Tribolium castaneum: one gene and its partner. The protein of the gene in region 1 interacts with the protein of each later gene in a pairwise test. Links are inferred from orthologs where the notes say so. Each region holds a gene or a part of one and is shown on either strand. Other genes may lie near its edges.

Evidence for each region.
Region 2: the proteins of PCNA (region 1) and Shmt interact in a two-hybrid assay, tested with the Caenorhabditis elegans proteins (2 studies listed by BioGRID). The link is inferred for Tribolium castaneum from reciprocal best matches to the Caenorhabditis elegans genes pcn-1 and mel-32.

The regions. Positions count from the first base shown.
Region 1 is NC_087396.1:13,479,236-13,482,273, reverse strand, and holds PCNA (proliferating cell nuclear antigen), read left to right. Parts: upstream 1-1,490; 5' UTR 1,491-1,614; coding exon 1,615-1,835; intron 1,836-1,886; coding exon 1,887-2,448; 3' UTR 2,449-2,538; downstream 2,539-3,038. Other genes in the region: cytochrome b-c1 complex subunit 7, read right to left, coding at 2,578-2,910. UniProt on the Caenorhabditis elegans protein: This protein is an auxiliary protein of DNA polymerase delta and is involved in the control of eukaryotic DNA replication by increasing the polymerase's processibility during elongation of the leading strand.
Region 2 is NC_087399.1:11,318,543-11,322,997, forward strand, and holds the start of Shmt (serine hydroxymethyltransferase), read left to right. Parts: upstream 1-1,438; 5' UTR 1,439-1,551; coding exon 1,552-1,599; intron 1,600-1,729; exon of another isoform or gene 1,730-1,890; intron 1,891-1,977; coding exon 1,978-2,207; intron 2,208-2,255; coding exon 2,256-2,401; intron 2,402-2,456; coding exon 2,457-2,587; intron 2,588-4,455. UniProt on the Caenorhabditis elegans protein: Interconversion of serine and glycine.

The DNA of each region.
Region 1 (3,038 bases):
GTGATAATTCCCTAGTAAATCACTGGCAACACGAGAATACAGCGCCTCTGGTGCTGAAGTGCGTTACTACCACGGTAAAGCGCCACGTTTGAATAAATTCCTTTTATATTCTGTTTTTTATTATTTTTATCTTACAAGTTTTATTGCAAATTGTTTAAAATAAAAAAAAATATTTTCATTTTAAACGAAATGAAAACATTTTATATTTATTTTAAACAAAATTTGCAATGAAACTTACAAAAAAAGTTGTTTTGGGGTAATAAAACACAGATTTTGTTAACATTTTTATTGTACACTTGAGTAACATAACAAATTAAATTTTTCAAAAAATTAAAGTATTGTATTATTTCTTAATTATACAAAAATTATCAAAAAATTAAATCAGTTAGTGTTGGCATGTTTTGCCTGTCTGCTCCAGACTTAAAACAAAATAAGGCCTTCTTTGCAATGACTTTTACCTTGTCTGTCAGCAAACAGTTGCCCACGCTACGACCACGAGGAGGTACATGCAGTGCACTGACACACTCGAGCGCAAATAAGAAACTTAAAAGTAAATTCTGAAATACCCTAAATCGAGAAAACGCCAAAATTTTGAACTTACAGGATCCTCAATTTTGCAGGCATTCCTCCACAATTCGTGAAGCTTTAGATTCTTAGGGAAGGTGAAGAAATGCTTGTTGGCATGTCCTTTGTTGGGAACATAACCACTGGTGCATCCGGGGTATTTGCAGGAATATTTGCGATAACCAGCCATGACTAAAGTTCGCTTGAGTAGTAGAAATCAAAAATCCGTCACTCCAGCCCAGAGACCAATGCCTTTAAAATAGAAAGAAACACCAATCAAAAAGATGAGGTTATATTAACAAAACAAGAGATACTTATCTTTTTGGTCGGCGCTCAACACCAGGAATTGACTCACTAACGAACTGTAATCAGAATTTTTGCTTTGATTAAACGATGAAACAAATAATTGCTACATACTTCCGGTAACACGTTGAACGATGAGTGACAAAACAACACTTTTGGCGCGATATTTTCGGCGCGATCTTTTTAGCGATCTGCGCGCAAGCGTAGATGTCATTGTTACGTCAAAAAATATAATTTAATGAAATCCCTAATAAATACGCGCTTGTTTTAAAATAAGCAGTCGTCATTGGTCGTCCCTTTTCATCTCCCCGGGAGTGCAAAACCCCCCTGGCCTATACTCTCGTGTTGCCAATGCGCGTATCCCACTTTCACCCCCATGACGACAACCACACAAAACAATTAGCCCCAAATTCAAACCCCCGTATTCCAGCTTTTTTATTTAACTAAAATAAGCCAATATAGGAGTATTACAGGACGCAAAACTTGTGTCACAACAAGTAACTATATTTAAAATAAATTTAGCACAATTACGTGGATTATTCACAATTTCTTGAAAGTCATGTGATCGGTATCAGCCAATCACGTTGCCTCAGCAGATCCACATTGACGAATTTGAAAATCCCCAAGAAATTGGCGCGCATTTACTGCAGTTTCCCTCGCATTTCCAGGAAGTTGTCGGCTCACTTGGTGCACTGCCCTTTGTGTTAATTCAGTTCTGTGTCGTTATTTTCTGTGTTAACCGGCAAAATGTTCGAAGCACGTTTGACGGCGAGTGCCACCTTCAAGAAAATCCTGGATGCCATCAAGGACCTTCTCAATGAAGCCTCCTTTGACTGCTCCGAGTCGGGGATCCAGCTCCAGGCCATGGACAATTCCCACGTCTCTCTGGTGTCCCTTATGTTGCGATCCGATGGTTTCGATAAATACAGATGCGACCGCAACTTAACAATGGGCATGAATCTGGCTAAGTAAGTAGCAAGCTTAAGCACCAATTGTCTTATTCATAATTTTTTCAACAGTATGGCAAAGATATTCAAATGTGCGAACAACGAAGACACGGTCACGATCAAGGCCCAGGACGATGCCGACATAGTCACCTTCATGTTCGAAGCCAAAAAGCAGGAGAAAATCTCCGATTACGAAATGAAACTCATGAATTTGGACCAGGAGCATCTGGGGATTCCTGAGACGGATTTCTCCTGCGTTATTCGCATGCCTTCTGGCGAGTTTGCCAGGATATGCAAGGATTTGGCCCAGTTTGGGGAATCCATCATGATTTCGTGCACGAAAGAAGGAGTTAAATTCTCCACTGGCGGCGATATTGGAACTGCGAACGTGAAAATCGCTCAAACTAACAACTTTGAGAAGGAAGAGGAGTCGGTAACGATCGAAATGCAGGAACCTGTGAGCCTAACTTTCGCCTGCCAGTATTTGAATTCCTTCACGAAAGCTACTCCTCTGGCGTCTCAGGTCCAGTTGTCCATGTCTGACAACGTCCCACTCGTGGTCGAGTACCAGATCCCCGATCTTGGACACCTTAGGTTTTACTTAGCTCCCAAAATTGAAGAGGATGAAAACTAGACTATTTAATTTGAGTCCAATATTCACGTTCTTACTCATTTGTTCACGTTCTGTATTTTTTAAACTAAAATAAAGTGCTACTTTTAATAATTTATTTTTTACAATTTACAACTACGAAACACCAAACTATTAATAATTTTTCTCCCATTCCTCGCGCTCTTCTCTCTCTTTGACCACTTGTTGTACGATTGGGGTCAGGTAAAGGCGGTCTTCTTCCAGTTTAGTCCATTGGTCTTTGGGGAGAATGTCTTTCTGGATTGACAATTGAACGGCTCGAAGGATGCGGTAATTGCGGGCGTCTACTTCTTGCTGTGGCAGTCTGCGAAGTGCTTCCTTTACATCGGCGGTTTCGTCCAAACAGTCGTCTCTCATGAGCCCCAATTTATTGAACCCGGAGATGCTGTACGCCCATTTTTGGAGCGCGCTGCTCATGAAACGTCTCTGAACGAACCCCAAAGACATGATGAGGACAACTAACAATGATAGTAATGAACAGAAATACAAAAAACGTTTTAAAAACAGTACTCGGCTATTAGGTAACAAGTCCTTTTTTATCAAACGTCAATTGAAAACAGTGACTTTCGTTTTGT
Region 2 (4,455 bases), on another chromosome or scaffold:
GAAAGTTATCTATTCAATTTAAGGCAAACAAGATTATTATTAGAACTATTATCTAAAATTTGGACGAATTTGATAAGAAATTAAATACTAGTATATATTTCTTAATTAAGTCATTACTAATTTATAAAATCGAAATATTCATATCATAAGGACCATATATTTGATTAAAATTCTAATCAAAGCAGCCTTTTGGATTGTGTAAAGTTGGCAACAATGAAAGACATGCCAACTCAATTTCAAAGCCATTGAAAACTTAATCAGAAATTTGGTTTGGTTACATTCACTATTATTCATTATCTATACGTAATAAGATATATGTAATAGCTCATATTTATTATTAAATTAAATTAAACCTCACTCAGTAGTGGAATAGTGCAGATATAACTCTAAGATAAAAACTTGTTATTTTAGAAAAACAGTTGTGTAACTTATCAATCACTGAAATTTTTACAAATCTGTTACCATGTAGTTCTTTAAAAACAACTTATTTTTCACCAAAATTAGAAAAAATATATAAAATTTCTTGAACTAAAGGAAATGAATATTTGCAAACACTTCAAATTCGATAAAAAAATTCTGTTTACTTCTTTAGGCTAATGCCCTGTATAATCTAAAAGCAACATGAAGTGTCTCAATGAGCAAGATTTTATCACAGCTGTGCAATTTTAAAATTAGTTGATCTAATCAACTTATTAAAAAAATCTGAAGTGCAATTTTAAATTGTCGTTAGATAATAACCTAGACCACTTCTGAATTCTAAAAATAATATATTATTATTTTAGTAAAAAAACTATTCCAAATAAATTCAATAATATTCTAAAACAGGGTATTTTTGTCATGTTGGTAACAGTCCCACAGCTTTTTAATAAAATCTCTACCAACTATGTATAGTATTAATTTTACCAAATATTAATTGTTGTCTTAGTTTATTAGATAAACACTATTAGCCAGAAAAGTGAACCTATGTCTAATGCATTTTATTTCATATATTAAAAAAATTATTATTGGTACCATATAATAAGTATTTTCAGTATCACCATTCAAATTAGCAAAATTAGACCATACGTGTTGTAAAATTGGGTTTAAGCTCCTTGTTTGGAATTCCCAAAAATTTACCTAAATACGTGATGCATTAGAACCGAATTCTAATCCAACACTTTCTACAATTTCACTGAACTTGCACTGAGGTGAAATACCTCCAACAACAACATTACAAGTTGTTTCTACCATAAACCCATAAATGGTACTCTGAGACCGTTCGTGTTTTTCTCCACTTCTCCGATACAATTTGTATTCTTAATAAAATTGTTTTCTTGGAAAAATCACGTATTCGATCGAAACTGTTGCAACATGATAATTTTCGTCACCACCAAGATCCAAATCTTGAATGATAATGAATTGAGTAATTAGCGATAACATTCCAGCAGTTCAATAAATCAGAGGCCTTATCGTCACCCTGAGGTTAACGCAGCGCAATAGTAAACGAAATCGTTCTTTTTGGCCTCTTCGCCCTGTTGAAACGTCCACTTTTTCGAATCCTTCGAATTCAAAATGTTTTCGCGCGCTTTTTCAACCGCCAACCACCTGTTGAACAACCGGGTATGTAAACCACTATTTTCCCAATTTCTTCGCGAAATAAAAACTCAATTCGAACAAACAAAGATGTTTTCGAGTTAAGCAACCGAGAACGTAACTTGTGTTGGGGCCCAGTGACCTCAAGCATGTATTTTGATAAAATAAGGTTATCACAAATCACTTTTTCTAAAACATTTCTTAAGAAGCTTCGGACGAGTGGTGGACCATCAGTGTGACGAGTGAAACAGTTCGGTGATAACCCCTTTTAAAGTAATTGAGCAAAAATCGGGTATTATTCGAGTTTAAAGTTTTGAGGTTAGCACCACATAACCTTACTTTTTTTGAAACGTTTTACACCGGCTTGTCAAAATGAACGTTTTAACAAGAAGTATAAATTTTCAGAATCTGCAAAGACTCGCTGTGACCCAGTTAAGGAAAATGAGTCAACAAGTGCTGCATTCAAACGTTTGGGACTCCGATCCCGAACTTTTTGCCCTCATTCAGGAGGAAAAAAAGCGACAATTGACCGGTTTGGAAATGATTGCGTCGGAAAATTTCACCTCACTGCCTGTATTACAATGTTTGAGCACTTGCCTGCATAATAAGTATTCGGAAGGTTTGCCTGGACAAAGGTAATTCATTGAAAATTTAAACTATTTTTTTATCTTTTAAAATGACAGGTATTATGGGGGCAACCAATTTATCGATCAGATCGAACGTTTAGCTCAAAAGCGGGCCTTGGAAGCTTACAGACTAAATCCAGAAGAATGGGGTGTGAATGTGCAGCCCTATTCTGGGTCACCTGCCAATTTTGCCGTCTACACAGGTATTTCCCCGAATTAAAACAAATACGTTTGTCATTATTTTTATATTTTTCTAAGGATTGGTTGAGGCGCACGGACGTATTATGGGGTTGGATTTGCCTGATGGGGGCCATTTGACTCATGGATTCTTCACTGCGACTAAGAAAATCTCAGCTACCTCCATATTCTTCGAATCGCTGCCATATAAGGTAATATTTTGAAATATTTCTCGCCTTCGACTTATCCTAATAGCCATCAATAAATGCGAGCCGCATACACTATTTTTTCTACTGGCGAACGGCCATAATTTTTTCAAAATGTCAGTTTTTTTGTAGACAAATGTCGGGCTGTCACATTACATTCCTTTGGTCACATACTGTCCGAACGTATACTGATTAATAAAATTAAAATACTTGAACATTAATAAAAAAATGTTATTTTTACGTTTGACGTTAATCTTTTTTCATGATCGTATAAAAAGTATTTTTAATTGTTGAATCGTACTTAAGCATCAGTTAAAGTAAACGTGTCATTTCCTGTTAATATTTTTTCGAATTATTGATTAGAAAATTTTATCAATGATTGGGAAATAAAAATTGCTATGTAAATCTTACCAATAATGGAATTGTATTATTTTTATTATTTCGTTAAGATTGAGATTGCTGTTGCTAAATTATTATTCTTTTTATGGATTTTACTGTAATACTTGCTATTACTTATTACCTATTTTTGTTTAATATGTATTGAAAAATAAAAAAAATTGCCGATGATTAAGATAAAAATCAATCACTTTAAGATTTACACAAGTGGCTGTTCAGATTTGATAAGATATTTATTTCTACATATAAATTATTTATAAGAAATTACCGAAAATAGGTGTGAAACAGGATGTGTTGAAATGTAAGATGTAAACATTCTGAGCTTTTCTTTGAATTTTGAAGACTTGTAAAAATATGTATATTGTTAAACCTACTTTGTTTAAACCTTTATTCGTTTCGTATTACTTTCATTTTTAAATTAAATTTGGTGATTTTGTTTTGTTTTTATTTTGATGAAGTTCTATCGATGTAAATGCGTTTTTGTGCAATTTTTATGCTAAAACACTTGAAAATATTTTAATTTTTGATATAAAATTTTTTATAAATAAAAAAATACTGCAGCTTCACTTACGTTTCACATAACTAAATAATCACAAATGCACCAAAACACAAATAAAAGTCTGAGAAAATGATAAATTACTATTAATTAATGATACGTCCACCTAAATTGTTTTTTTATTACTGGTTATTGGTTTTGTCTTTGCTATTTCTTCGGACCGTATGTCAATCTAGGTTAACAATATCCAAATTATAATTATGATTGCGAATATACTTTATTTTTAACTCCAAGATGATACTGCATGCCAAAAGTGCGCTTATGTCACAAGTCGTACTTATTTTCGTATCCCTGTCCCTTTCATATTTTATTTTTATTAATGTACACAGTCACACTTATCGAAATTTTAAAATATTTCAATTTTTTCTACAATTCTGTGCATCTGCAGGCACACTATTAAAAAACTGTAGTGTGCTTGGTCTTTAAGATATTGAGTTGGGATTTTATCTGTGTGTAAACTACTATCGGGAGTATCTTTCGGTGACAAGACTGTCCATTTGCATTGTAGCATTACTATGCTGTGACACATTCATTTTGGTAAACTATGAAGCACCGTAACTTGATTTTTGCAAATAGAGCACCCTCTGTATTTTATTACTGTTATTTTTATTATATTATAATATTATATTTATTACTCTGTATTATTCAGCATCTCATTTTACATTTTTTCACCTCTTAATTTTTTTTCCAAAAGTTGATAGTTTAGGTTTTTCTGAAAAATGCACATAAAATCTATTTGATACGAACGTAGTGTATCATGTAAAACAATAAATTCTGACATAACAACATCAGACTGGCGTTTTTTGTACGTCATTTTGTTGTGAAAATGAATTCTTCATGTAAAATGCGTACGAATCTCATCGAGATATAAAAGTTAATTTTTATAAGAAATCATTAAATAAAAATAAAAATAGACAGCACC